Alligator mississippiensis: one gene and its partner. The protein of the gene in region 1 purifies or fractionates together with the protein of each later gene. This does not show direct contact. Links are inferred from orthologs where the notes say so. Each region holds a gene or a part of one and is shown on either strand. Other genes may lie near its edges.

Region 1 (14,635 bases):
GCTGTGCTGATGTGCAGTAGAATTAGTCTTCTGTGCATTCAGCATCTTGTGTAGATGTGCCCAGTGAAGAGTAGCCACAGCTCATGTAAAACAGACAGTGTCTGAAAGGAAAGCAACCCAAGGAAAAGGCTGATAGGCTCACTGAACAAATCTGAATAATTTAAAAAGTAAGCTCACCACTTAAGAAATGTTGCATCTTTCAGGCAAATCTGCAAACAAACAAAGTGAGATGACCTGTCAGTTATGTTAGCAAAGCTCTTTGGGATTTTCTGTGTTGAGAAGTGGTAGATAAACCAAACAGGGATCACTTCACCAGCCCTTTAAACAACAGCTGCCTCTTGAGAGGAGCATGGCAATTAGTGGGTGGGCAACGAAACTGTAGAAAGAGTTTAGGAGATGGAAAGCAATTAGTGTAGCTGAACCCGACCCTATTTTTATAGGCAATGTCATGGAGATTCTCTAATAACCACAAGTTACCCAGGCCGTAGTCTTATCTGAAATACAATTTTAAAAAACCAGCAATGTTAAAGAGAGATTTTTACATTGGGAAAAACATGTGTCTCAGTCTCTTCACTTTTGTTATGTTTTCCTATGATGGTTCTTCTCGTATTTGAGAATCAAAAGTTTTCAATATCCCTGCCACATCCCACTTCTCCTCCTCCCCCCACCATCAAAATAAATTATCACAATGAATGTGTCGTGTCAGGATTCTTTGCTGTTGTCACAAGTATGCACATGCAGCCTGCTTGCCTGCAGGTTCAAAACGGAGAAGACTTTGAGCTGTGTAAGGACAAAGGCCTTCTCCAAAGCAGTGTCCTCGTTGTGACAGCAAAGGGAAAGGAGAAATGCAAGCCAGATCTATTTCTTTCTACAAGCTGTGTTTCCTTGAGCTCACTCCAGTATGAAAGCCCCTTCAGCCTTCTCATACCAAGTACTCACCGTGCATAACTAGGACTGGGGAGGAACAAGGTGGGGGAGAGAAAAGCAGGTGAAGGGGTTGGGATGGGGCACGGTACGACAAACGAGTCTGAGGTGTGAAGAAAACAAAAGACACCCCAGAACAAGGAAAAGGAGGGCAGAAACAAGGAGAAAAGGACTGAGAAACTGAACAGAGGGAGCTGAGAGACCTTTCACCACTACTGGACTCAAGTGGATGTGTTTACTTTTTAAAAACAGACCAAACTGCCAATGTGAAATGATGCCCAGAACAAACTATTCATAATGGAGACAAAGAAAGTATTTCCCTGGCTGGAAACAGAGATGGGTCCCGAAAGCAGGCTGTTCATGCTGGGGAGTGGTACCTCATATGTTGTCAGCAGGACCTGGAAGTTGAGAGGTGCTTTCAGGTCCCTCTGCAGCTCTGCTCTTTCCTCCTTGTCTCCCACGTATGTCACAAAGGAGAGACCTGGAGCAAACCTGTTCCCATTAAACAAAACAAAACAAAGGAATATGCTGGGCTGAGCCTTCCAGGCCCCAAAAGCTTGTGGTCAACTTCAAACCCTGTCAATCAAACCTAGCATAAAAACCAAAAGAGGACCCAGATGGAAACCCCTTATCCAAATCATGGTGTTGGATCCAAGTCCCTGTTTTCAATCCTGCCCTGATGGGTTTGGGCTCAGGTTATATCCTGTTTTTCTGGCTGTCGCGTGGAGGAGTCCAGAAGCTCATGAAATTGGCAGCATTCTCATAGGCCTTACCATCCAAGATGGGACATGGCAGAACAGCAGCTATTGTCATGGGATGTCCACTACTTTGAGTGGAAGATTTCACAAGAAGGCAGCAAGATAACAGTGCTGCCAAATCTGAACTTCATTCTGGATATGGCTTCCAGTCTGAACCTTGAAATCCAGCCAACACCACACCCAACACGAACCTCCTTCTCCAGCAAGAGCTCTTTTTACAAGGTAGTAGGGATCCCCTGGGCACAAGCAGGAATCTACATCTATCCAGAACACTCATTGCAGGGAACAATCCTGAGATGCTAACTACCCACAGCTCCCACTGAAGTCATAGTCATAGAACCCAGTCCAGAGCTCTTCACCCAGGCAAGGCTCCCACGAACATCAACAGAAATTCTTTCCCCAGCATAACATTCCAGGAGGACCAACAAAATCCTTCACTGAAAAAAGATGCTGGATATCCTTCCCAGTTTTTTCTGCCTCTGCACAAGACAGAACTGCCTTCATAATCTTTATAGGATGGAGAGGGAAGGAGTACTGTGAAAGAGAGCGAAGTCATCGCAATGGAGTTCTCTCTTACTTCCTCACCCCACCATAAATATCTGAATATCCTTCTCACAATAGATGGCAATGTATATTCCCTGAGCCATGCCTCACAATAAATAAATTCTTGTTGATTTACATCAGTTCACTTCATGGCCTGATCAGTTATCACATCCTCCTGAGAGACAGCAAATTCCCACAATTCAAAAGCAGTCTTTTTCTTCTAACACTCACGCAGTTTTAAAACACATGAATAATAGCCACACCATCAACTGATCTAGTGCACACAGGTCTGCCTTACACACACAGATGTAATGGTGTTCTCCTTACCCGATCCGTGTGCACACAGTAAATACACTTGTGTGTGGGCAGGCTTAATTTGGACCTTAACCTTTGCCTCCAGTGGGATGTTGAGCATTGAGGTTACAACAATTAACAATGAAAGCCAGGAGAAGTAGGGGGCAGCTGTGCCAGGAGTCACCCAGTACTATGCACCCTACCACAGGGGACATCCCAATACACAAGGTTGCACAGAAAACCATGCATTAGCTGTGAACTGTGCCTTTCTGTGCCACAAACTTGATGTTTCAGTGTCTTGCCTTTAATTTTAAAAAACCATAAGCCGTGTAAGCATATGCTAAGTGATCATTGCAACTCACTGATATGAGAGCAAATGTCTGCATCATAATCCTAAGGCTCACCTCTTTAGTTCCTCCTTCCAGTTGCTCAGTACAGAAAGAGGACAAAGAATAAGAAATGGCCCTTTGTTTATAAAGTTTCCAGACAAATACACAAGCAGAGAAATGGTCTGGAACACAAAGAAAAGAATTGTTGTCAATAATAAGCAGTTCCAAAACAAACCCCACAATCTAAATACAAACCTTCCCTCCAACACCATCTTTGCTGCTGGTTCCTGACAGGCTCACTATGGCAAAACCCTGACCATAAGCACTGCAAACTATGGAAAAGAATTAATCAAATGCACTGCAGCTGCAGTCCAATTCTATCACTAATCTGGGAGCACTCTGTCCCCTACTCAGAAATGTTTTTCCCTTGTAACGTTGAAAGAATGCAATGTACTATATGCTAATTTTAAGTGAGTAATTTGCATAGCACTTAAAATTCAGGGAATACTGTCAGTTGAAGAAACACACCAAGCTCGCTTTGCCAAATTCTTAACAGAAGTGGAATGCTTATTTTGACAAGGAAAAAAAAGGCTATGAAACAGCTATACAAATCTAACCATCTCTGCTCTGAGAACTGAACTTTGTAAAATGATCTACCCAGAGAGTCACGAAAGCAACATCTTATGATACTAATAGCTAGTTGTGTTGTCAGCTAAGCAGGAGCTTCAAAGCAGTCTTCCCCCTAAGAATATAATTTTGCCTTTTATTTTAAAAAACAAAAGTGTTTTAACTGAGCAAGAGCAGAAGGAATCAAGATTTAGGCCTTTTTCTTCTCAAGGACATCAATATTTGGTCCTAATCTAAATAAACTTTAAGGAATTCCTCTCCTACCTCTTGCAGGAACATTGGGAAGACAAAATATAGGCAAAATTGATTGTCCATGGAGAAATAAAAAGAGGCACCTGACAAGTCTTTCCAAGACCCATCTCATCGCCCAGGATGCAGCCATGTTGATCTTCATAACATCGTACTAGCCAGTTCACCCCATCCACTTGGTAGGAACGTAGCTGAATACCTAAAACACAAAAGTGATTTGGTAAAGCTACACAAAACTGTCACACAACCTACTTGGCACTGCATCCTGTAATCCTGCAGATGTAGAAACACAGGGCAGATTAGGCCTACCTACCAAGTCAGCTTTCATGCCAAAAAAATATTTTACAGGTGCTTCGCAATCTGCATTGTTTGTCAATAAGCTTCCAGGCTGAACAAAAAGTGCCAATTTTAACTTTGAAAGCCCTTAATGATTTGGAACTTGCCTCCCTGGCAAGCTGGACTGCTGTGGGTGAGGTGAGTAAAGGTACCAGTTCCATAACCTCCTAGAAATCAAACAAAAGGAAATTGCTTGGGTGTCATCTTCCTTGATAAACCCCTTCCTTGGAGGGCCATGTGCCCTCATGCTGTCAGAACATAGCTTTATCCCTCCTCAGCATGCTGCAAAGTTCAGAATTTCTCTCTCACAGAAGGGGATGGAGTAAAAGCCTTCTGTTAAAAACTGGAGGTGATTTTATTACAAACTGTCCATCTACTTTGAGGATAAAGGATGTTATTGTGGTTAAGGCACAGGACTGGGTGGTAGGACGTGGCCATTATTCCAAATTCTGCGAAATGCTCCCTATGAAATATAGAGCAAAAATCATGCAGGGTTATATCATCACCGTAGCGCAAAGCAGAGCAACCCGACTTAGCTAGTGGTCACTAGGCCTGTGTGAGCGGACAGCTATTCGATCGGGCTTCGGATCCAGCCGCTTTGGATGTCAGGGATCCATTCCGGAGCTCCGGACCGGGTTCCCATTTTGATCCGTCCGAAGCTTATGAGCCGCCTCAGAGATCTGGCCATAGGGTATAATGGGGAATCAATGAAATATCTATAACTTTGTTGCTTTTTGTCTGAAACTTGCAGGGGCGGTAGCCCCTGCTGAGGCCACAAAGCCTGCCAAGTTTCAAGAAGATTGGTGCAGGGGTTTGGGGGCAACTGCACCCCAAATTCTTGAAAGCAAAACTCATGTCATGTGTATGTGTTACACCACAGGGGGGTGAAAACTGCAGGGGTGGCAGTTGCACAAGCACCCATATCACGTAGTTTTGCTTGTCAGCAGCCAGAGGAGCAGGGCTGCAGAACCCCCCTGCACCAATCTCCTCCACAGCTGGCTGCAGTAAAGTCAAGCAGCAGAAGCAATTGGCACTCTATGGATATCAAGGATGGGCAAAATGGTGGACCTGGCCGGTAGCTGGACTTCATTTCCCAGCAGCCCCTGCCCACAAGCCTAGGTCTGGTTTCCATGGGGACCTTAGCAGCCACACTGTGATAGCATGGGGCAGGGGTTTTCATGGAGATCCGCCCCAGCAGTGCTGGCAGGGCACGTGGCAAGACATGGAGATGCTTTGCATTCGGGATGGGATCTTGCAGCCATGGCAGCGTAGTCCGGAGCTGGGGCAGAGTCACAATCTGCAGCCTGTATGCTCTGGGCAGGGGTGTGCACGCAGTGGATCACAGCTCTACCCTAGCTCCTTGCAGCAGTCACAGCGTGTGTGTGTGTGTATTTTTTTCTCCTTTCATTAAAATAACCAAAACCCTCTTCCTTCTCCCAGGTTAGGGAAGCCCATCCTTCTCCACATCAAGCTTACAAGGCCGGTCAGCAGATAAGTTGATTTTGGAGACCTGTTTCATTTCAGAGGTCTCCCTTTAAACAGACCCACTTACAGCAGCTCAGCTCCAGAGGACCTCCACAAAAACAACCTCTGCTCCCTGTTCCACGCAGGCTAAGCAACTGCAGGGAGGTTACAGGACATGTCATGCGGCCAATGAAGCTCCACTGAAGGAATGAAGGTTTTACTTTGGAGCTCCACCCACTACCTGACAGAAGAACCTGGCCCACAAGGTGCATTATGGTTATGTAAGAGAGCAGGGCTGGAAGGGACCTCAAGAGGTCACCTAGTCCAGCCCCTGCTCAAGGCAGGACTGTCAAAGGGGGAGGATTCCACGCAGCACCCTGAGGCAAGGAGGTTGATACTGTCCAACCCTAAAGCCACCGGGCCTGGCCGGCAAGTCCCTGACGGATCCAGCCAAGTTAAGCCCGCAAACAGGCAACCCCTCCTTCGGGGCGGCCCCGCCGGCCGCACTGACCTGCCAGGCCCCAGTGGTACAAGTCCTCCTCCTTCAAGGGCGCGCCGCCTGCCCGCCCTTGGGGCTTACTGCAAAAAGCCTGGAAGAAGCGAGACATCCCGCCGGCCGCCTCCCGCTGCCTCGGCCCGGCAGCCCCCTACCCACCCCCGGGGCAACAGCACCACCCAGCAGCTCAGGCGCCGGAAGCCGCATTGCAACATTGTATCGAGTTGGCTTCGCAGCGAGGCGCGGATTGGCTGATGGCTTGGAACGCTCCCCCCATAGGCCAGTCGCGCGTCAACTGCCATTGGCTGGCTGGGGGCTGGCGGTGGCTGATTGGGCAGTCGCTGTGACAGTACGAGCTGGCGTTCCAATCCGGGGTGCAAGTCAATGCCAGCCGCTCGCTTCGCGCGCCTCCAGCGGGTACCAAGCTTGCGCTCCTGGCCTCCGCGGAGCGGGGCCCACACGGGGGAAGCCGGCAGCAGCAAACGACCCCAAGGGGCAAGTGTCACCAGAGAAGAAGCACCACAGTCCCTACACCCGCACCCCCCTATACCGCCCCCTCCACACACACTCCCTACACCCATACCCCACTATACCCTACACCCACCCTCTATGCCCCCTATACCCGCACCCCTTTGCACCTTCTATACCCACACCCCTCCCCCTACCTATTCTCCCACACCCTCCTACACCCCCTCGCCCCCGTGTAAGGTTGGGGCACGTGAGGCCCAGCGGGGCAGACCCCCGTAGCCAGGAAGCCGCGCGGCCGGCAATCACCCGGGCAGGGGCGGGGGGCGCCTGGCCGTGGCCTGGCGAGAGCAGCCAGTGCTGCATCTGCAGCGGCCCGGGATGTGCCCTGCCCTGCCCGCCTCCCCCGGGCCGCAGCAGTCCCACGTGCTTCCCCGCCACAAATCCCGGCCCCGCCGCTGCCGCGCCGTCGCAGCCCGGGTCTCTCACCGCCCCTGCGCCCTTGCCCTGCCCGCTGGGACCATGGCGCTCGCGCTGCTGCTGCCGGCGGCGCTGCTGCTCCTGCTCCTCCTCTACCTGGGCTTCGTGCGCTGCTTCACCGCCGCCCCCAGCGCCGTCTTCCAGTGCCGGGAGCGGGTCGGGGCCGCTGGGTTCCAGCCCCCGCGGGACGCAGTAAGTAGAGGAGCCCTAGAGGGTGGGCTGGGGGAGGGGCACCTGTGGGGTCTCCCCGGCTTGGTGCCTTTCCAGCTGCAAGCCCTTGTGACTTTTCTCCTCTCCTCTCCTCCCTGCAGTGGGGCCCCCGGCTCTCTGGCCAGCCCCTGCGGCTGCTTGTCCACCTGGCTAACACGGTGAGTACCACTCTGCCCTGTCTGTGCTGCCCGCCTGGTGCCCCCCAGGCAGGGCCCATGCTGTCCTGAGCTTGCTGGGGTAGGTGTGTGGGGGGGGTCCAGCCTACTCCTGTGTGCAGGGCTTAGCCCTGGCCCTGGGCAAAGCTGGTCAGAGCAAGAAAAAACAAACCCTGTGTAAAGGGCAAGGGCCAGGATGGCAGGCACTGCTTAACCCATCCACATCAAAATGCCCCTGACGCTAAGTGGGTAAGACAGCTTCTGCATCTTTGCTCAGGCTGCTCAAGCAGAGCGTTTGATGTGGGTTAAAAGGACACCTGTACCCCGTGAAGGGAAAGGGTAGAACACCACTCCAGAGGCTTGTCGGTCGGGGATTGTTGCTTGTAAGAAATCAGGGGGTCTTGACAGTCCCCCCCCCGGCACAGTAACATCTCTCTGAGACCAAGGGCTAGCGGTAGGAGGAGGGACGCTGTCCAGGTGCAGCTTCTTGTTAGCAAGCTGTCTCCAAGTTCCCAATAATGTGATTACCCCTATGACCACTACCAATCTGCTATGTTTACCACGGTTGTGCCTACGTGGCCCCTATGTGGCTGGCTTGTCCCAGCCTAGCTGCAGACCTGACCTCATAAGCTGGTCCTTTGCAGTGGCCTAGCCAGGGTAGGTAATGCACTCCAGTAGGGAGTGAAACATACAATTTCTTGTAGTCAAGGTTCACTGTAATCATTATTGCTTTTTTTTTTTTTTTTTTACTTACTTATTTATGCATTGTAATGTGGAGTATATGCTACAGACCAAACTATGTTTGTGTTGGCTGCAGGCAGTCTGTTAGCACTGTGAATACCATTGAAATCCCCTGATTATGCCTCAAGGATTCGCCAGGATTTCTTTCTGCATGTGACTTTATCTAAATAGTTGCATTTTCTTGTGATCTGCTGTTTGTTTATAGAACACCAAGTGCTTCTTGTACAAAGATACTGTGTTTGGGCTTCCAGCACTGCAGGCAAGGTTTTTAATCTCCCTCTACCTCTCTAACTTTTATTGAAATAATATGGTTATAGGGGGGGAGAAAAAAACCTCTCAAGATTATATAAAGTCTTGCATCTCCTATTTTATTTTTTTATATCTGTTGTGTAAAGTCTGTTTTGCAGGTATGCAAATTTGGCTTGAACAAAAGGCTGGAGCCCATGGGGGTGGTAGCCTCCAGGTCTCAGGTGTTGAATTTTGCTGCTTTTTTGTTAACTTCATTTTTTTTCATTTAAAAACGGCTGATTATGATATCTTCATTGTTTTAGGGATACAGGTTTTAGCCGTGTTGATTTTACAGGCAAAAGCAGTCGGAACTCTTGGTAGAGGTAATATCTTTTATTAGACCAAGTAGATGGCTTTACAAAAAAGCAAAATTTAGCCTAGTTGACCTAATGAAAGATATTGCCTCAACAAAGAGTTCTGACTGGTTTTGACTGTAGATCAACATGGCTAAAACCTGTATCCCCGAATGAATGTAATCCATATGTTGGCTTTGTGTGTGCGGCTGCTGAAGGCTCCAAAAACAAGAACAGCCTAACTAATCTGCTGCCTGGGGAACAATCTTCTCACCTGGTCTAGCTTTAATGGTACAGATGTTGGCATGTAAACAAGGCAGCAAACAGCAGCCTTTTGCAAAAGGCAGGCTGAATGGCTCCTTATTAGACAGCATCTGACAAAGCAGGCTGTTGCCTCTGAAAGCAGGACAGATGCAACCAACTCTCTCCTCCTAGCTTGCAGAAGAATGTTAAACAGCTCAGTTAAGCAAGGCTGGCAGGTGAAAGAGTTGGGTTTTTGTTTGTTTTGTTTTTTGGAATAAAGCCAAAGCTACCCCTTTACTTGTTCAGGGGACATGGCAATAAAAAATTCAGTGTCTGATCAGTTCTAGTGGGATGTTGTAACGAAAAGCTGTTGATCCACGCATTCTCTAGGGCCCGGTAAAAAGAAATGCTTGTTTCCCACATGTTCTGACATCTGCAGGGAAAGTCTAGAAGTGAAGCCAAGTATAATGGGCAGAAAAGAATCCTGACAGTTAAGCTGGTTTTGACTGTGTTCCCAACCAAGAAACCTAAGGATCTCTGTCCAAAGATTAAACGCTTGCTTCACCAGTTAAGCTGTTCTGGAACATTGATTTATTCCTGCTCTTCTAGTTGTTTCTCCCTCTGAAGTTGGCACAGCCATGGAATTCTCACACAGTGGAGTGCTGACAAACATGAGTTATTTGAGCCACAGTATGAGGTGATTTTGGTATGGGACTCGATGGAAATGTCCCATGATGTTTATTTCAAAACAAATTTCTTGCAGAATGTCTTGTCTTAGCAAGATAATGATATTTTGCCCATGTTGCCACATGTAAAGAACAGGTAGTTTGGGAACTGTCTTCATTCACAACTTAATTTTGTGCATTGACCCTGAGTTTAACAACTGCAGAAGTTAATCAGCTACAGGTTTTGTTAGTGGTGCTGTGGGGAAGCCTCATGATGTATAGTACTGTGGCTAAAGCAGGTGATGTGGGAGCTAGGATTCCTCATTTCCTCTAGCTTTGCCACTCTTGTGTCATGTTCCTTTTTTGTACCTCAGTTTCCCGTTTTTTAAAATGCAGGGGAGTGAAAATATTTCCAAACCTCATGGTGATCTCTCTCTATCCATATTCATGTTGGTAAAATGTGTTGAGATCTCAGAAGCTGTTATAAGTGTAAACCTAATAATCTGCTCTAGCTGTTTATTTCTACCTGCTAAATGCAGGTATTAGAGAAGTGTATAGGAAATTGTAGCAAATAATAATGGTTCTTTTTTTTTTTTTTCCCCCTCACCTTCCTCCCCACCCCACAATGTCTTCCTGTGCTTTTAAGCAGTCTTTCATTTTCAATATAGAAAACAACTGATATCTATAACCTTTAGCACTGACACATTAGCAACAGCGTAAAGACAATTTTGAGTGCCTTGGTTCCTAGTCTGGATCAGAGAAAATTCTAACATGTAAGCCACATTGAGATGTGTAGGGGTGTGTATTTGCAGTGGTACAAATAGTAGCGGCACAGATTTGTGCCACTACTTTTTGTCTCTGCACACACCCTGTATAGGCATGTCCAGACAAGGGGGAACACTTGTTTCTCTGGGGACAAGTAACCTTGTCCCCAGGGAATACCCATGCCATACGCGCTCTGGCGCGTGGTAAGTTATCCTAGGTGGGGCAGGGGAGGCTGGGGCCAACAGTTGTGCTAGCCCCAGTAGCCTTTCCTGGAGGCTTCCTGGGGCTGTCACCTTGGCAGAAAGCCTGGGTGGCAGCTGGAGCATAGCTCCAGCCAGCCAGGCTCTGGTTTTGGGTGGCATGCGTTGCTGCCACATGTACCCACCCCGTTTTGGGGGTTTTCTTGCCTGGGAATCTCCCAGTGTCAACCCCCCCCGTTCTCCCTCACACTGCAAAGTAAGAATATGAGGAACACCTGCATGTGCGGCTCCACATGTCTGTGCTTGTCTGGACGTGGCCTATGTGTGCTTTGTTATGGGATATATTGTCCTGCTTTGGGCAAACTGCCGGAATCCAGCCCTTCCTGTCTCCTGGCATGCTGGAGCAGCAGGGTCGCAAATGGGGTAGTAGAGATGCTCTGGCCAGCTGTCAGAGTGCCTCGCTGGAGGATCAAGCCTCTGTTCTGGCACAGTATTTTCCTATCCTCTGCACTTTTTTTTTTTTTTCCTGGTACCTTTTTTTTTTTTTTTTTTTTTTTTTTTTTGCTACCTAGAAATCCTGGTAGCAATTTTTGCCCCCACCCTGCAAATTTGCAGCACTGGTCCCATTTTAATATTCCAAATGTTTGGTTTGTGGAGCCACAAACTGCACGTGCCTGCGTGTCTGGACATGGCCCTACTGAGCTGATTGGATTGAGAAGGAGGCCAGTTTCACTGGTTTAATAGGGTAAAAGTGTCAGTGGCATTGAGGGGAAACTGCTTGCATATGGAATATGCTAACATTTTTTTTTTTCGTCCAGAATTTGCATGTTCTGCTCAAAGCTGCAGATTTTATTTTTTGGGGTGGAATCTATAGATGTCTTATGGATAACTTAACCTTGTTATCTGGGACTGCATGCTTCTGAGTGATGGGGCAATGTGAGGGTGTTAGCACTGAAGTATTTTTAGTGGAGAGCCTAAAGAAACGCATGAGAAATTCTCACGACTTAGTAAACGGGTTCAGATTTGATAGTGCTAAGCACTGACTTGCTTCTTGATGTTGTATAAATGAGATTCTTGTCTCTCTTTTTAAATTTAATGTTGTAGTAGAATCAAAGCTAAAATAAAACAGTGTCTCTACTGTTTTTTGCTGTGGGAGATTATGAAATTGGAGTAGGCGTGAGCTTGGCCAGTATTCCCAGAGTTGGAGAAAGGAGGTATGGTAGTCGTATATTGTTTTGCCTGTTTAATCTCCTCTGTCTTCTTCTCCAGGCTTTCGGGCAGTTCTGTTTAGTACCATTTTTAATGAGGTAAGAATTTTCTATATCTACACTACATGCTTTGCATTGCCTAACAAATCTGGGTTATCTGGAATAACTTCTTTAGAGGGAGAGGCTGTATAATTAGGGACATTTAACGGAGAGACTAGTGTTGAGTTGCCCAGATCCGCTAAGCATGTACTGGCTCTTTGAATTGCTCTGACCATCGTACTGCCAGGGAGGGTTTAACCCTTTTTTTTCATAGTCCATTTGGAGTATGGAAACTTCACCTGGCTGCTTCTGTGCCTTCTGCATGCATTTTTGTGAAAAAGTAAGGCATCTCTTGAAGATGTGGGGTATACAGACCCAGTGTTCTAGGTCAGTGTTAGTGGGGGGAGCCAGGAAGTTGGATGAAGAGTTGGGGGCTAAAAGCCTACTTCTTGCTCAGGAGTTCGGGTTCATTGTCTTTGGTTTGGTCTGTACCTAATCTTCTAACTGACTCCTTGGGGTCTGCAGTCTTGAAGGACCCTGTAACTACATGCACTTTGCTTTAAAGAGATGCAGTTAACAGGCTCACAATCCAGCTCTCTTATACTGCTTGTAATGGGATGAGCAACATCTCTGCAGATCCCAGTACATTTTTAAAAATCATTGTCATAGTACTGAAGTCTTCAGTTGATAAATATTCCCCCATGGGACAAAATTAACACAGTAAAAGGTTGCTACCACTTCCGCTTCCTCTCTGTACTGCCTGTCTATCTCTGTGGGCATGGACAACTGCTAGTATCTTCTCCCTTTTTGTTAGCTTCCTGGCTCTGATCTTTCCAGACCATTCTACTGATTGTTTCTGTTCTTACTTTTAGTTTGGTGGGTACTGTGACACAAATGCTAACCAGAATTAAGTCTTCAGGTGTCACAGTAATACCATGAAGGCTTCTGTTTGGGGGACGTTGGAGTGTTTGGAAGTTACCTAGTCAGAATAAAGAGGAAAAAACCCTAGCCAAATCCTCCTTTAAAAAAAACCCAACAAACCTGAGGTGCACAGATGTTATGAAACAGCATTGCTGCTTGGAGCAAGGACTGATGTTTTGTCACTGGCAGGAGTGGCATCACACATCGTAAGGTTTTGGGATCAGTGAGATGCTTCTTGTAGCATCAGGCAGGCCTCTTTGCTTATCAGCAAAGTAAACATAGCCTGTCTGGGGTGATCTTGGCTATGTAAAGAAGCTGAATAGATGTATAGGAGTGAGTATGCTGTCTAGAAGAGAAAAGGCAGTACACCTAGAATAAGAGCCTTTGGCAGATACTGAAGCATCTCAAGAAAAGCCCTCTCAAACTGGTGATAAGCTTTAGTCTTTGGTCATGAGTAGTTTTTTCTCAAGGCCTTGGTTTTTCATGGCAGGTCTCTTGTTCATGCTTAGTCTCGGGCATGACATGTGGAGCCCCAGGTAGAGAAATACTGCACATCAGGGGCAAACAGCCTCTAACATCCCAATTTTTAGCCACCCATGTGTCTCCTTTCAATTCTTGTCTTGCAGTCTGATTTTTTTTAAATACTTGTTTGTGAAGTTTGGTGGGATAGACCATATTATCTGCTAAAGGAACAAACTCCACATTGCTTTAAGGTGCTTGTCCTTTTTTTTTCCTTTTTCAGAGGAAATCTTGGCTTTTCTGAAGCCAGTGGTAAAACTTTCTGTGGCACCAATGGGGCCCAGACCCCTGTGTCCAAATGTGTTTGCAGGATGCCAGCTAAACACTTGTATGCTAGGAAATGGGAATCTCTGATAAACGTATGCTGGGGTCACTAGGATTCCAGCTTCTAGGAATGGAAAGAGACACAGAATTGCTCTGTTGTATTCTACAGTGTGAGGAGAAGCAGACTATTAAAGGAAAATGCTTTGGGAAAGAGTTGTTTTGTTTTGTTTTCTGAACACAATGTCTTTGAATGATAACTTAGGGTGGAACTTACAGGCTTGAGCAGTGACTGCTTTATTTGTCTCCTTGTAGGCAGAATAACCTGTTTCTCCTGCGCTATCTCCACATTTATGAAGATCCCACGTTTTTCCCAGTGGTGGCTGCAGAGGCTAAAAAGGACAAGCCTGAGACTAAAAGCACTGCTGAGATTCTCGAGCAGTTGATGGAGATGAGGTCAGCATGTGTCATTATGGAGAACAGTAAGGGTGCAAAACACCCTTGTGTACCAATATCATGTCATCTGAACAAAACCAGAATTTCTGAACCGGTGTCCCCAGTCATAGGAGACTTTTTGTTTCTCCTGGAAAAGCTTTCTGAATTCCACTGTTCAGCTGGCTCGTCCTTCCTTTGCAAGCTAGTCCCTTACTCAGTATCTGCCCCTCCTACCTATGTGTTGAGCACCACTGCTCAACCTTTTTCTTCTGGTCGGTCAGATGGGCAGTGCTCAGCCCATCTGCAGGCTGGATCCAGCCAGTAGTCCTGATCCAGCACCCGGGGTGGGTGCAGCAGGGGAACCATCCAGCTTCATGGAGAGGGGCAACAGACAGACCGATCCCATTATGGTCCTGCAGGAAAAGGTGCTGAGGATGGGGGAAAGAGGGCCCTGTGCGAGGGGATGGGGAATAGGGTATGGCCTGGCCCTGATCCCAAAGCTGGGGGGGAAGAAATGTGGCCTGTTCCCATGAGGGAGGGGGCATGGCCAGCTCTGACCAGCTACCTAAGGGTTGGGGGTTGGGAATTTGGCAGGTGGAGGGTGGTCATATTAATGGTCATCACTCCCACACTGCCAAATAATCTGGAGCTCCATGGGCCAGATGTGATGGCTTTGTGGGCCATATTTGCCTTGGGCTGGAGGTTTAGTACCCTGGTATAAAGCAAT
Region 2 (15,437 bases), on another chromosome or scaffold:
CACACACACATACACGTTAGGAGCCCAGAAGTCCAGGATAGCCCCTTCCCCCTCCTGGAGCAGAAGGGAACCCAGGTGTCCAGCGCCCACTCACCTCCTCAAAGGCCTGGTCCCAATCCTGTGCGGTGACAACATAGTTGACACGGTCGTTCATGTAGTCCTCCAGCTCCCTGGGGTGGGGGGAAGGGGTGGGGAGCCTGAGTCCAACCCCCTCCAAGGGAACCCAGCTGTCTGGGCTTCCCCCGGCCCCAGCCATAGGGAACCCAGGTGTCTGGGCCGCTCACCCATTGAAGGCCGTGATGTAGCGCGTCAGCAGGCGGCGCTCATGGGCCGGGAACTCGCCGTAGAGGAAGAAGCCCTTGCCCACGAAAAGGTCTGAGGGGGGGCAATGTGGGGGACAATAACCTCAGTGGGAGAACAGTAAACTCAGTTGGAGGGTAATCATTTCGGTGTGGGGGACAAATTAGGCCAGGGTAGGGGGCTGAATTGCCGCAGTCTGGCCAAGATATGCCCCCTTAACCCAGGGCAGCTGACCCACCCCACAAAACAAAGAAGTGGGGTCAAACTAATCTGGATTAAACCCCCCTAATGCAAAATATCTGGTATCTCCCTTAATTTGGATTAGCCCCCCACTGAAATTATTGCCCCTCCCACTGAGATTACTGCCCCCTAGGGGTAAGATCACCCCAAACCCCACCCCTCAGCCTACCAGGCAGCTCCGGGATTGGCTGGTCACTGGGGCTCTGCCCCTCGTCCTCCGTGTTCTCGTCAGTGGAGCCACCATAGGGGTCATCATTGGGGTTGGCGCCAGGATCCCGACCCCCCTGCTGCTTCTTGCGGTGCTCCTCCTCCACCCTGGGGCAGTTAGAAATGGGGACAGAGAACCCAGGTATCCCCCCTCTCCCCATGAAGAGAGAACCCAGGTGTCCCGGATCACTGCCCTGGACTCCTGCCCCCACCTGCGCAGCTCATCATCTGTGTCCCCTGATTCGTCCTCGCTGCCGTCACTCAAACCTGGGGGGGGGGGGTGCAGAAACAAGAGGGAAAAAGCTGAACCCCAGGCACTGCAAAGGCTCATGGGGGGGAAGAGGTCGGGGGACAGGATGCCTGGGTTCTTTCCAGCTCTGGGAGGGGAGAGGGATCTACGGGATGAGAACCGGCAGTGGGAAGAGGAGCAGATGCTGACATCCTGTACCTACCTAGGCGGCCATCGCGCTCAGGGCAGGTCTGAGAGGTGCTGGGCTCTGCTTTGTCCCCAGGGGCGTCTGGCCGCTGTAGCCGGGGGTCCTCAGCTCCCTGTGGGGCAGAGGGGAGCTGGAGGGGACCCAGGTGTCCAGGGCCCCCTGTCCCCCTCCCCGAGGAGCTGCAGAAAACCCAGGCATCTGGGCCTACCTGGCCAGGGGAGGCCTCATTCTCACTCCCTTCCTCACTGCTGGATGATGCAGCCCCGTCCATCAGGTACCTGGGGGGGGGAAGGATTGCCCACAATGTCTCTGCAGCCCCTATTAACCCCCTCCCTATTTAACCCCTTCCACAGCAGGCCCCACCCTGTTAGCCCCACTCCTTTCACCTCTTGACGGGGAGGCGGCGCCGGGTGCGGTGGCAGTCCAGCACCCACTCCTTGCGCAGGATGATGCCCCCCAGGCGCTTCACTTGGCTGTACTTGGGAGTGTTGGCAAAGGCACAGCTGAGGGGGCAAAAAAAGGGGGGGGGGGGCGGCTCAGACACCTGGGTTCCTCCCCCATCTAAGGGAAGGGCAAGGGGCCCAGGTGCCTGAGTTCTCCCGTGGGGGGAAGCCCGGGTGCCTGGTTCTCCCTTGTGCAGCAGGGAGGGGAGCCCAGACGCCTGGGTTCTCTGGGCAGTGCAAGAGCTGTGGGGTGAGCACAGGGGGATTGGGCACCCCGGTTCATGGCCCCCTGCCAAGGACCTACATGAGGTGGGTGCTGTCGGGGGTCCAATCAGGCCGGTACCGGGCACCCATGGCCAGCGCTTGGTCCCGCAGCTCGGCGCGGAAGGGGTTCTGGAACCCGCTTAGCACCAGCACCACATCCTGCAGCAGCCGCTCAAAGGCCTCTGGTCCCACTCCCTGCCCCAGCCCTGTCCCCTCCTTCTGTGGTTTCCGGGGCGATGGTGTGGGGGGGGCCACAGCACCCAGGGAGACAGCTGGAGATGCACAGAGAGGAAGGGGTTAACAAGGGCTCACAACAAGGGCAAAGCCCCCACCAGCCAGAAAGAACCCAGGCATCTAGGTCCCACCCCAGGCTCACCCCTGGGTTTCTTGGGGGCCTTGGGCTCTGGTTTCCGGGCGGCACTGGGAGCCGCTTTCTCCTTGCCCAGCTCAAACCTCCTCTTGGCAGGGGCTGGATCCTGTGGGAGGAGCAAGGGGGGCTGGGTGTAACAGCGCTGGGGGCAACTGGCTCTGGGGAGGGCCAGGCTGGGTGCAACTGCCCTGGAGACAGCTGGCTCTGGGATAGCACAAATCAGCTTCAAGTGAGAGAAGCTTCCCGGGCTAGGACTGGCCTGGATCCCTCCATACCTTGGGTGAGGCCTTGGTGCTGGGTTTCTCGGGAGAGGCAGCAGCAGCAGCACTGGCCTGGAGTGTGGCTGCAGCATAGCTGGGTCCAGGGGCTTCGGCTTGGGGGGCTGTGGAGAGAGAACCCAGGTGCTTGGAACCCTCTTCTCTCACCCCACAGCCCCTGCACCCTTCCCAGAGCTGGAGAGAACCCAGGCATCTGGGGTCCCAGAACCCCTCCCCTGGTACCTACCGCTGTCAGGGGGTGGGGCCTTGCTGGCACGGCTGAAGAACAAGGCCCCTGGCCTAAGGGACCCGGAGATGCCATCCTCGTCCTTCACCTTGAACTGGCCAAATTTGGTCAGCTTCTGCAAGGGGTGTGGGTTGGGAGTGAGGGACGCTGGCAGGGCAGAGAGCTGCAAGTCAGGAGTGAGGGGCACCAGCAGGGCTAGGGTGGGGCCAAGAGGCTGTCACTCACCGGGGAGGCCACTTTCGATTGGCTGTCCTTGTCCGGTGGCGAGTGGAACCTCACAAAGGACAGGCCGTATGCCAGGGTCTGGGGTTGCGAGGGATGGGGGCAGAGGGAGAAAACAAGCCATCAGGAAAGAAGCCAGGCGTCTGGGTTCCCAGCCCCACCCTGCTTCCTCCAGGAAGGATGGGACCCAGGCGTCCTGACAGAGGAGCAGGTGGGGGCTGCGGGTCGGTAGTGAGGGGCACTGGCAGGGCTGGGTCAGGGCAGGGGGCTGCGGGTTAGGAGTGAGAGGCACCGGCCGGGTTGGGGGATGGAGCCAGCCAGTTGGAGCAGGGCCCACCTTGCTGTAGGGCTGGCTGCAAATGATCTTGACCCGGTCCCAGCGCCGCTCGGCCGCTGCCCGCACCAGCTTGTCAGGCCCAAAGAGCCGCACACGGTGCAGGTTGGACCCGCTGCGGCTCTCGCTCGGGGACATGAAGGACGAGGTCACCAGGAGCACCTGGGGGGGGGGTGTAGTCAGCCACAAGCCCCTCCCATCCAGCACCTAAGTGTGTGTGCTGGGGGGGGGGGGGGGGGAGCAGCTCTCCCTTTATGCTATTGAAAAAGGTGGGGAAATGAGGCTCATGGGGAGGAAACAAGATCTGAACCCCTTCTTCCAGTCCAGTTCCTATAGGGTGAAAAGGCTTGTGATGGGGGGGGGGGTGACCAAGACAGGCTCCCCCCCACATTAGAAAACAAGGTGAACTGCAATCCCAGCGAGGACTACAACTCCCAGCCAGCCGCCGTTCCTTAGGTGCCCAGTGCCTGCCCAATTCCCTTTTCTCATGTGGGGAGCTGGAGGGGGGCTCACCTCATAGTCCTGCTCGCTGGGGGAGGCCGAGCTGCCAACTAGCACCTCCACGAAGGCCGAGCCCTCATTCCCGATGTCAATGCCATGGATCTGCTCCTCCTTCTCAAACTGCCCGGTGGTGGGGCGAAGGGGAGACGGTTTGGTTACCGGGATGGAGGGGATGGCTGTCGCTGCCTGCACTGTTCCCCCCCTGGAGAACCCAGGTGTCCAAGCTCCCAGCACTCCCCGCTTCACCCCCCCGGCGTCCCCTCCCAGAGCCAGAGGGAACCCAGGGCTGGGGGGTCCTCACTTGCAGAATGACCGAGATCTGCTTCTCTCCGGGCTGTGCCGCTTTCCACTTGCGGTAGGTGTCGGGTCGGAGCAGGTTCTCAGCGCAGTGGGTCTGGGGCGTAAGTGGGGGGTAAGTATGATGGGCACGACCCCAAGTCCCACCCCCGCCCCCCACATGTTACAACTCAAAATAAATTCTCCCACTCTATGTGCTTCAAGCATGACCTCCCCCCATGACTCCCACAATGGTCCCTCCCACTCCCTTCAAAATCCCACCAGCATGGTTTCTCCACATTCCCTTAGAATGGCCCCTCCCAAGCTCCCCCTTCCTCCAAAAAGTATCTCCCCTCACCAGGGTTTCTTCCAGCACCCCCCACTTCAAATGATCCGCTCCAAAAACACCTAAAATAGTCCCTGCCACCCCCCAGTGGTCTTCTCCAGATCCCACTGCCCTAGAATGGTTTCATCCATGGCCACTACACGCCCCCTCCCCTGACACGGCTGCCTCCAATCCCCCTCAATGATCTCTCACCCCTCTTAGCATCCCCCCAGCTCCCATGCCATAATGGTCTCTACCACTGCCCCCCCCCCCCGAAGGTCCCTCCCGGAATGGTCTCTTCCAATTATCCCCGTCCCCCAGCAATCCCCAACAGCCCTCTAGAATGGTCCCTTCCAGTTCCCCGCAAATGATCTCTCCCAAGTCACACCCCCCTGCAGCACCCCTGAATGGTCCCTTCCAGATTCCCTCCCCCACCAAGAATGGCCTCACCCAGTACCCCCTGGAATGGTCTCACCCACACTCCCTCAGCATGCAAAAATGGTCCCTCCCACCCCCACGCTCCCCTAGAATGGCCTCTCCCCCCCGGACTTCCCCTCTCCCCCGCACCGGGTCGGCGCTGCTGGCGGACACCACGTGCCGCACCGCGATCTCCGGCATCGTCCCGTCCCGTCCCGTCCCGTCCCGTCGGCGCCTCCGCCTCCCGCCCCGGAACCAAAACTCCGGCCCAGCCCGGAAGCGAAGCCCGCTACGGGGCCTCTTTTGGGAACTCTATGGTTGCCCGGGTCCTTCGTCGCGCTCTGCGCAGACGCGGCGACCGATTCCGGGCCCGTGCGCATGAACCAAGCTCCGCCAGTTCCTCCAGCGGTCCGTCCGCATGCGCAAGGCCTTTCCCGCGGGCGCCACTTGTCCCGCCTCGACACTGCGCATGCCTCTTAGCAGGTGCAGCTACTGCGCATGCGCACGCGCACTGCTGGGTGACGTCTTTAGGGTATGAAGTGATGTCACTGCTCCCCCGCCCCCTCCCTAAAGGCCGCGCTCGTCCCTCCGCCTGCCTGTGATGCCATCTCGACGCCCCGCTACGTCAGAGTAGACCTGACAGCGGCCCCATGGCGTTACGTCATCACACGTGCCTGACGTCATGAGCGGGGCCGGGGGACCGTGACGTCATCGTGCAGCCGGCGCTGCGGTCCTAGCTTGAGTGTACAGATGTTCACAAGCAACCAATGACTCCCCCGCCACAACTGGAGGGGACCCAGGAGTCCTGGCTCCCAGCCCCCGCTGCTCTCACCTCTAGGCCTCACTCCCCCACCCCCCGAGTACCCAGGCATCCGGGCTCCTAACTCCCCTAGACCTCACCCCCTCCCCGAGTACCCAGGTGTCGGCTCTCCTAACTCCCCTCGACCCCACCACCCCCATGACCCCAGGTGTCCGGGCTCCTAACTCCCCTCCAGCCCACTTCCCCCCACAGTACCGAGGTGGAGGCGCTCCTAACTCCCCTCGACCCCACTCCCCCGCGAGAACCTAGGCGTCCGCACTCCTAACTCCCCTCGACCCCACTCCCCTCCCCTCGACCCCACTCCTCCCCCCGAGAACCCAGACGTCCACGCTCCTAACTCCCCTTGACCCCACTCCCCCCCCCGAGAACCCAGGTGCTTGGGCTCTTATCTTCTCTCGACTCCACTCCCCCTGAGTACCCAGGTGTCCGCACTCCTAACTCCCCTCGACCCCACTCCCCCCCCCGAGAACCCAGGCGTCCGTGCTCCTAACTTCCCTTGACCTCACTCCCCTCCCGAGTACCCAGGCGGCAGCGCTCCTAACTCCCCTCCACCCCACTTTCCCCCAGAGAACCCAGGCGTCTGCACTCCTAACTCTCCTCGACCTCACTCCCTTCCCTGAAAAACCACGTATCCACGCTCCTAACTGCTCTCGACTCCACTCCCCACCCGAGTACCCAGGCGTCTGCACTCCTAACTCCCCTCGACCTCACTCCCCGAGAACTCAGGCATCCACGCTCCTAACTCCCCTCGACTCCACTCCCCCCGAGAACCCAGGCGTCCGTGCTCCTAACCCCCCTTGACCTCACTCTCCCCCAAGAACCCAGGCGTCCACGCTCCTAACTCCCCTCGACTCCACTCCCCCCGAGAACCCAAGTGTCCACACTCCTAACTCCCCTCGACCTCACTCCCCTCCATAACCCAGGCATCTGCACTCCTAACTCCCCTTGACCTCACTCCCCCAAGTACCCAAGTATCTGTGCTCCTAACTCCCCTTGACCTCATTCCACCCCCCCCCCCCGCCCCCAGAACCCAGGTGTCTGGGCTCCGAACCCATTAGCCCCTGCACGCCTCCTCCTGCCCCCTCCCCAGCTTCACCTCTGGGTGCACCAGCGGGTCCCCTGGCTCTGACCCCTCCGCTCTGTCCCCCCTCCGGAGAGAACCCAAGTGTCTGGGCTCCCAGCCCAAAACCCCCCTGCGCAACCTAGGGGATTGGGGCCCCCCAGGGTACTGGCCCTGCCGTGGAGGCGGGGAGCAGGGACCCTGGAAGCCTGGGTTCCCCCCACCTCCGGAGCCTGCAGAGGAGATCGGGGGAGCTAGGATCCCGGAGCAAGGCTTCCTTCCAGCTCTTGGGTGGAGTGGGAGGAGAGCAGGGGCGGCTGGGAGCTCCGTGCCTGTGTTCCTTCCAGCTCGGAAGCCTAACAGGTGGGAGCAGGGGGAGCTGGGATCCCGGACGCCTGGGTTCCTTCCAGCTCTTGCACGGCAGTGGAGCTGGGATCCCAGTAGCCTGGGTTCCCCCCACCTCTGGGGCGGGGTGTGCGTCAGGCCGGCAGCCAGGACACCTGGGTTCTCTCCTGAATAGCTGCACACATGGCCAAGCCTGGCAGGTGCGTGGGCCCCCAGCCAGCCCGCACCTCCCCGCTCGCCCCGGACCGGGCAGAGAACCCAGGCGTCCCGGCTGCCAACCTCTGCACCTGGCTGGGCTCCAGCGGGGGTGGGGGGTCACCAGCTCCTGCCCTGCACCCGGATGCTTCCCGGATCCACCCCCCTGCTCCAGGGGCTATAAGTGCCTCTGGGCAGCTTGGGGCCCCCAGTGCCATCATGCTGTCCCCCCTGGCACTCGGGCTGCTTGCTGCCCTGCTGGGTGCAGGTGAGACCTCCACCCACTGCCTGGGAGGGAACCCAGGTGCCCGGGTTCCCGGGGACCCCTGCCCCAAAGCACCCTGCTCCCCTTCTGGAGAACACCGGTGTCTGGGCACTCTCAAAGCCCTGACTCCCCCCCCACCGCCCCCCTGAGAGCTGGAGAGGGCCCAGGCATCCGGGCAGCCAGACCCCCGCTCTCGCCCCCAAGCCTCCACTCTCCTCTTGAAGAATCCAGGCGTCCGGGCCCCCCCTTCTCTCTCACCCCTAGTCCCTAGTCCCCTCCCAGAGAACCCAGGAGTCTGGGCTCCCGGGCCCCCACTTTCACCCCTTGCTGCCCCCTCAGGCTCCCCCCTGAGCTGCCATCGCTGCAACGGCACTGGCCTCACATGCACGGGGCCCCTGGTGCCTTGTGCTCCCCTCCAGGATGCCTGCTTCACCCTGACCTCGGAGACCCACATTGGGGGTGAGTTGGGCCAGGATTGGGGCTCCCCAGGCTGGGATTGGCGGGTGGGGGCTGTCTGGACCCCCCCAAGCCAGGATCGGGGTGCTTTGTGCACTGTACAGACCCCCCAGGCAGAGATCAGGGTGGTCCGGGGGTTCCAGGGGGATCTGGGTGATGTCGATACCGCTTCCCCCCAGGATCCGGCCACACCAGGCACTGTATATATTTTCATGCCGGTTTTAACTCCGTGATGCCTGGGTGGGGGGGTTTGGGGACAGGGCAATGCCGAGTCCCTCCTGTCTGTGCCCACCCAGGGACGCCGGGGAAGGTGGACACCTTCAAGGGCTGCACAGCGAGGACACTCTGCCCCCCGCGCTCGTCCACGCTCAGTGCCGGTGCCGGCGTGCGCCTGCGGGGGGGCTCCGTGTGCTGCTCCCATGATGGCTGCAACCGGGGCGCCGTGAAATGTATGGACCCCCCGTTCTCTGGAGCCAGCGGGGAACTCAGGCATCTGGGATCCAGCCCCTGAATCCCCCCAGACCCCAGGTGTTCGGGCTCCCAGACCCCCCCTGCTCACCCCCCAGCCCCACTCCCATCCAGGAGCTGACGGGAGACCCAAGTGTCTGGGATCCCAGCACCCCCTGCTTTCAGCCCCCCATGCAGAGCTGAGGAGGACCCAGGTGTCTGGGGTACTCGTTGCCACCCCACACTCTCACCCCACAACCCACATGCCCCTCCCAGAACCCAGGCATCTGGGCTCCCAGCACTGATTCCCCCCCCCGCCCCCGCGACCCCACTTAACTCCCAGAGCTGGAGAGAAGCCAGGCGACCCCTACCCTGAGCCCTCCTGACCCCGCCTGTCCGTCCGTTCCAGTGCCGCTGGCCCCCGGGGTCCTGACCGGGCGCTGGTGCCCAGGCTGTGCTGTTGAAGGCCCTGCCTGCAAGCCCAAGGAGAGGGTCCCATGCCGGGACCACGAGGACCAGTGCCTCTACGTAGCTGGTGCCATCCACGTCGGTGAGAAGCCAGGAGTCCAGGCTCCCAGCTCCCCCCACCCCCACAGCGATCCTCCCCAGGCCTCACTCCCCTCCCAGAGAACCCAGGTGTCCATCCCCCAACCCCCACCTCCTGTCTTGGGGGATGGGGGGGAGATCCCCTCTTTTGGGGGGATTTGGGGGCATTAACCCTTTGCTTGCCAATATGCTGCTGGGGGGGGCAGGGGAGAAAGTATAAGGGGTCTTCCAGGGCCCCAATCCTGGGACTGGGGTCCCCTTGGCCCCCCCCAACCCCTCCTGTGTCTCCCTTCCAGGCAGCTACAACTACAGCTATGCCTTGGGGGGCTGCGCCACCCGTAGTGCCTGCGTCAGCGCTGTCGGTGTCTATGAGGTCAGCGGGGTCTTCACTGAGGTCATCAGCAAGGCAGAGTGCAGCCCTGCCCCCTCCCTCCACCTCAGCTCCACCCCCGCCCCCACCCCTACCCCTACCTCCACCCCCACCCCCACCCCCACCCCTACGGCCCCTGGGGAGCAGTAACTGTGGGGAAGCTTCCTGTGGCAACCAGCACTTTTCCCCTGGCAACCAGCATCCATCCCCCTGGCAACCAGCATCTACTCCCCTAACAACCAGCTGCACCCCCTTGCAACCAGCATCCACCACCCTGGCAACCAGCACCTACTCCCCTAACAACCAGCTTCATCCCCCTGGCAACCAGTATCCATCTTCCTGGCAACCAGCATTGTCCCCCTGGCAACCAGCATTGTCCCCCTGGCAACCATGGATCCACGGTTGTGCCCTGTGCCTTGGAACCAATTGGCTGAATAAAGCCCTGCCCCCAGCATGCAGGGCGGGTCATGGAAACAGGCTTGTATGGGTCTCTCATTCCCCTGGTGATGCTGTGGGAGGGGGTGGGGAACTGGCTGGTGTTGCGGAGGGGGCAGGGGTTAAGGGTAGGTTCAAGGGGTCTCCCACGAGGGGCAGCGGGGGTCTCCCCACCAGGCATTGGCCAACATCAGTCCCATCACAATAGGATATGACATGCCCCCCTCCCCCTACACACACCTAGCTGGGAGCTAAGGGTCCTGCCCCAGCCAGGCCAGGAAGGTGCAGGTTCAATTCCCCCACCTCCTCTGCAGTTACACAGATAGGCAAAGACCCCACCCCCCAGCCCAGGCCTGATGGGAGCAGGGGGACCTGGGTGCTGCCAGAACCCTGGGGTAGGAAGAAGGGTGCCCATGGAGGCCAGGTATGGGTTGATCCAGTTGATGTAGTACCACATGTACTCGAATACAAGATGACCCTGAATATAAGATGACCCTAAAATAAAAAATCAAAACAATCCTAAAAACAAGATGGCCCCCAAATACAAGACGATGACCCCCAAATATAAGATGTCACCAAAAACACGATGATTCTGAACATAAGACAACCCTGAAAACAAGACGACCCCCGTATGCGAGATGACCCTCAATACAAGATGACCCCTGAATACAAGACAACCTCCGAATACAAGATGACCCTGAAAACAAGATGCCCCTGAACACTTCATTACTCTGAATACAAGACGACCCCCAAATATAGGTCGACCCCAAATACAAGACGACCCTGAATATAAGATGATCCTGGAAACAAGACAATTCCAATACAAGACAACCCTGAATACAAGACGATCCTGGATATAAGATGACCTATAATACAAGAAGATCCCAGAATACAAGATGACCCCCAAATGCAAGCTGGCCTCAAATACAAGATGACCCTCCAGTAGTTAGCTCCTATACACAGACCATTGATACATGTTTGAATTTCCCTGGGGATCGGATGTACTTGTTGGAGGTTTGCCTTGACTTTGTCCCCCCTCCCGCTCCTAACCTGTGTCCAGTTGTGGGCCCCCCCACTACAGAAAGGATTGGAGAGAGTCCAGAGGAGGGCAACAAAGGTGGTTGTGGGGCTGAGGAACAGGACGGATGAGGAGAAGCTGAGGGAACTGGGCTGATTTAGCCGGGAGAAGATGGAGGTAGGATTTGAGAGCAGCCTTCAACTTCCTGCAGGGTGGCTGTTAAGAGGATGGAGCTGGACTGTTCTCAGTGAGGACAGACAACAGAACAAGGAGCAATGGGCGCAAGCTGCAGAAGGGGAAGTTGAGGTTAGATATTAGGAAGAATTTTCTCATGAGGAGGGTAGCAAAGCACTGAAACAGGCTACCCAGAGATGTGGTGGCATCTCCGTCCTTGGAGGTGGCGAACACCCAGCTACACAAAGCCTTGGCTGGGATGATGCAGTTTGACTCTGCCATGTGACACAGGAGATGGGGCAAGATGGACCTAGGGTCTGACACAGGGCATGGCAGCTCTGATGGTCTCATGTTTGGATAGGGCTGGTGCTGCCTCATGGAGGGGTTGGCCTAGATGTGACCTTTGGAGGTCTCTTCTAGCCCAATGTCTCTATGACCATATGATTATGGATGTATATAGGATGGTTTGGATAGGACTGGTCTTGACTCAGGTAGGGGGTTGGCCTAGTTGACCTCTAGAGGTCCCCATCTAGCCCAATGTCTCTATGACTGTATGATTATGGAGATGTATGGGATGGCTTGGATGGGGATGATCCAGCCTCTGGCAGGGGGTCGGCCAAGGTGTGACCTCTGGAGGTCCCTTCTAGCCCAACATCTCTAATTCTATGATTATGGACTTATATAGGATAGTTTGGACAGAGACGGTCTTGCCTCATGTAGGGGGTTGGCCTACTTGACCTCTGGAGGTCCCCTCTAGCCCAACGTCTCTGACTGACTCTTTGATTATGGGTTTGTATAGAACAGTTTGTCACATCTAGGGGGTGGCCTAGATGTGACCTCTCAAGGTCCCTTCCAGCCCAACATCTCTGTGATGCAATGACTTTGTTGGCCAGCCTATGACTCACCTTCTGGCCTCCACCAATGATGCCCAACCTATTTCCAAACTTGCAGCTCCACAGGGCGCCCTGTAGGCTGGGAACTGGTCTGGGTTGCTGGGGGCAGAGGTGTCACTGGGCCCAGCTGGATACAGGGCCCTGTCATATATAGCCCTGCTGGGCAGAGCCATGAGTGGGCATGGCCACCATCTTAAAGGGCCAGGCACCCAAGAAACAAGTCGAGGAGGAGGCGCCAAATACCGAGGAGGACGTCCCTATCACGGCATGGGCGCGAGTGATGGGGAAGGGACCCTCCCACTGCCGGCGGCAGGGACGCAACGCAATGGAAGTTCCCACGGGAAGCTCGGCGCCAGGGATTAGCTCTGGCGCCGGCCTCCGCCCCCCTCCCTTCTACCTCATGGCTCCCGGCCTATAAATCCCCACCGGCTCCGTACAGTTCCCAACACTGGCAGCCATGGGCGCCCTCCTCACTCTAGGCCTCCTGGCTGCTCTCCTGGCTTCAGGTGAGCTTCCCCCCTGCCATGGCTCCAGGCCAGGAGCTGGTAATTAGATCTGGGAGCTTGTTAATTAATTTTCTGGGAGAACCCTACAGGTGTCCGAGGCTTCTTATTGGCCGGAGGGGGGAGCACGGCAGAGGCAATGAAGCCTCATCACGAAGGGGCTTTTCAAGGGGGTAGAAAGGAACAGCTGGGGATGGTTAGAGCCTGGACGCCTAGGTTCTTTGGCAGGGTCTGGGATAGGGCTTGAAGCCCAGATGCCTGGCTTCTCTGGGATGGGGCTAGGGTCCTGTGGGATGCAGGATACCTGGGTCCCTGGGGGCTTTTCTGGCCAGCGTTTGGGAGTCCAAGCAGGGGGCGCTAGACCGAGTTGTCCCACCCCAAGAACGTGGCTTGGAGCACGTGGCTCGTGGTCCTCCACTATGGTCACCTCTGTCTGCCGCCGCTTGCACAGGTCCGCCCCTGGAAGGGTTAATGCCCCGGGGCTGCCACAGATGGCTGTCACCTCCAGGGCTGGAATTCAGCCGAGATAGGCAGGGTGGGGGTGGGCAGCATGAAGGAGGGCGGGGGGACACAACGCCAGATCCCCCAGGGCCCAGATATGATGATGGGCAGGGAAACCGGGAGGACGAGTGTGTGGGCCCGGAGGGAGTGAGCATGTGTGTGTGTGTGTGTCCTGGATGCCTGGGTTCTGTGTGCGCATGTTGGATACCTAGACTTTGTGTGTGTGTGTGTGTGTGTGTGTGTGTGTGTGCATCCTGGATTCAGAGTGCACAAGTGTATATGTGCGTGTGTGTGTGTGTGTCCCCACCAGAAGCCTGGATTCTATGAGTGTGTGAGCATTTGTGTCCTGGGCACCTGGGTTCCATGTGTCTGTGTCCCAGATACCTGCGTGTGTGTGGGTGTGTGTGCGTGTGTGCATGCATATCCCCCAGACATGCACACGTGCACATGTGTGTGTGTGAGAATGTCCCAAACGCCTGGATTCTGTGTGTCTGTGTGTGTCTGTGTGTCCCGGATGCATTGTGTGTGCATGTGTGTGTGTGACACCTGGGTTGTATGTGTGTGTGTGTGTGTGTGTGTGTATGTGTGGGGGGGGTGTTCCTGGATTCTGTGTGTGCATGTGTGCGCCCCAGATGCCTGGGTTCTGTGTGTGTGTATGTGTCTGCGTGTGCATGCGTTTCCGGAGGGAAAAAAGACTCTGGGCGCAGGTGGGGGAGAGAACCCAGCCCCCAGCCCCCATCTCCCTCACGGATTTGTGCCCCCACCCCCTTAGCAGCTCTGATGAAGCAGGGCGCAACACCAGAACAGAAGCAGGGAGGCCTGGGGCGCAAGACTGGAGGCGGGAGGGGAGGGGCATCTCTAGTCACGCCTCCTCTGACCCGGCCTATCACCTGCCTCCCCAGGCTCTGCCCTGCGCTGTGAGGAGTGCTTTGCTTTTACCACTGCCTGCTCTGGCCCGGTGCTGCCCTGCGACCCTGGGGAGGGGGCCTGTGTGAGCGGAGTGGGGCACTACACCTTGGGTGAGTACTGGGGGAGTCCTGCAGGGGGCATGTGGGGGCAGGCCTCAGGGGTCACAGGTCACATATACTTTGTTCCCACCAGGAGAGGGACGGACCCTCTCGGTGGCCGTCAGGTCCTGTCTGGAGCCAAGCAGCTGCAGCCAGCGCCATTTCAGCCTCACCTTCCGGCCTGGCATGGCCATGCGGATGAACTTCACCTGCTGCCACCAGGACGGCTGCAACACAGGGGTCGTGGAGCGTGAGTATCCGGGGGGTGGGACCCCTGCCCTCCCCCATTGCTCTAACCACCCCCTAAATCGCACTCCCCTCCCAGAGCAGGGAATGAACCCAGGCATCCGGGCTGCCAGTGGGAACCCGCCACACCCCACTGTCCTGCCAGAGCCAGAGAGGACACAGGTGTCCAGGCCTCAGGACTCCCACAGCCATCCCTGAATGGAGAGAGAACCCAGGTGTCCGGGCTCCCAGCCCCATTCACCTCTTGTGTCCCCAGTGCCGTCCGTGAGCTCCACCTCCAATGGCCGGTCCTGCCCATCCTGCTTTGCAGAGGGGGCCGATCACTGTGATCACATGACGCCGCTGCCCTGCACTGGGGAGGAAGATCATTGCTTTGAGTTCACTGGGACGATAACAGCAGGTAACGCTCACGCCAACCCCCCTCTGCTGAACTAGAGAAAACCCATCCCGGACACCGCTACTCTCACCCCCAGTTTCGCTCCCCTCCCAGAGCTGGAGAGAACCCTGGCATCTGGGCTCTCAACCCCACCTATTCTCACCCCCCAGCTCCCAGTCCCCTCCCGGAGCTGAAGGGAACCCAGGCGTCTGAGCTCCCAGACCCCCCTGCTCTCAATCCCCTGGGCACCAGAGCTGGAGAGAACCCAGGTGTCCAGGCTCCCATCCCCTTCGTGCTGCTCCCCACACCTTTCCCCATGTAAAAATCAGCCCTCCAAACTCAAAGTGCCTGTTCCAAGTTGATTTTTGATCCCTGGAATAGAAGCAGGGAGACACTGGGTTCAAAGGGCCACCAAGATGGCTGCCAGCAGCAGGGGTGGAGCCTAGCATTAACCCTCTCCCAGCTGCTGAGCTGGCTTTTGGATCGTGAACTTCTGCCAGCAGCCTGGGGGCTCTGGATGAGGCCATAACAGGAAATTCCTGCTGCCTGTGTGCCGTCTCCTGGGATACCTCCACTTCCTGGATGGTCTGTGTTCCCCGGTGGCCTGACTATGCTCCACCATTGGCCAGAACTCCCCCCCGATTCTGCCTTCCAAACCGAGGTCTTGTCATGGGGTGTGGGGGCTGGGGTCGTATGCTAGGAAATATGGTAGGCCTTCCTTCTCCCATAGAGAGAACCTAAGGGTCCGGCCTCCAAGCACCAAGACACCCAATCTCCTATCCTGGGTGGGAGTTTTACTGGATGTCTCCATCGCCTCCATGCTGGAGAGAACCCAGGCATCCCGGCACCCCCATCACCCTACTCATCTGTTAGAAGTGGGAAAGAACCCAGGTGTCCCGCTCCTCACTCGCTCTCCCTCTCACCTCCCAGATCCCTCTCC

What was found.
Region 2: the proteins of CHD1L (region 1) and XRCC1 purify together in Homo sapiens (affinity purification with mass spectrometry; 3 studies listed by BioGRID and IntAct, counting the BioPlex papers as one, with this or other methods). This does not show direct contact. The link is inferred for Alligator mississippiensis from reciprocal best matches to the Homo sapiens genes CHD1L and XRCC1.

Annotation. Positions count from the first base shown.
Region 1 is NC_081824.1:251,903,126-251,917,760, reverse strand, and holds the start of CHD1L (chromodomain-helicase-DNA-binding protein 1-like), read right to left. Parts: upstream 6,203-14,635; 5' UTR 6,133-6,202; coding exon 6,036-6,132; intron 3,924-6,035; coding exon 3,811-3,923; intron 3,031-3,810; coding exon 2,924-3,030; intron 1,417-2,923; coding exon 1,302-1,416; intron 210-1,301; coding exon 178-209; intron 1-177. Other genes in the region: uncharacterized protein LOC102572765, read left to right, coding at 6,867-7,157, 7,277-7,333, 11,795-11,832, 13,789-13,929. UniProt on the Homo sapiens protein: ATP-dependent chromatin remodeler that mediates chromatin-remodeling following DNA damage.
Region 2 is NC_081838.1:29,414,045-29,429,481, forward strand, and holds the start of XRCC1 (DNA repair protein XRCC1), read right to left. Parts: upstream 5,600-15,437; 5' UTR 5,471-5,599; coding exon of another isoform or gene 5,414-5,470; 5' UTR 5,249-5,413; coding exon of another isoform or gene 5,219-5,248; 5' UTR 5,042-5,218; coding exon 4,991-5,041; intron 4,217-4,990; coding exon 4,124-4,216; intron 3,943-4,123; coding exon 3,835-3,942; intron 3,484-3,834; coding exon 3,325-3,483; intron 3,069-3,324; coding exon 2,991-3,068; intron 2,881-2,990; coding exon 2,766-2,880; intron 2,644-2,765; coding exon 2,537-2,643; intron 2,368-2,536; coding exon 2,268-2,367; intron 2,164-2,267; coding exon 1,932-2,163; intron 1,688-1,931; coding exon 1,571-1,687; intron 1,463-1,570; coding exon 1,393-1,462; intron 1,315-1,392; coding exon 1,200-1,314; intron 1,015-1,199; coding exon 960-1,014; intron 856-959; coding exon 710-855; intron 376-709; coding exon 285-375; intron 171-284; coding exon 95-170; intron 1-94. Other genes in the region: phospholipase A2 inhibitor and Ly6/PLAUR domain-containing protein-like, read left to right, coding at 5,219-5,248, 5,414-5,470, 6,867-7,083, 7,865-7,984, 8,278-8,430, 8,838-8,978, 9,271-9,494; phospholipase A2 inhibitor and Ly6/PLAUR domain-containing protein, read left to right, coding at 12,322-12,370, 13,771-13,887, 13,970-14,125, 14,378-14,521. UniProt on the Homo sapiens protein: Scaffold protein involved in DNA single-strand break repair by mediating the assembly of DNA break repair protein complexes. Negatively regulates ADP-ribosyltransferase activity of PARP1 during base-excision repair in order to prevent excessive PARP1 activity.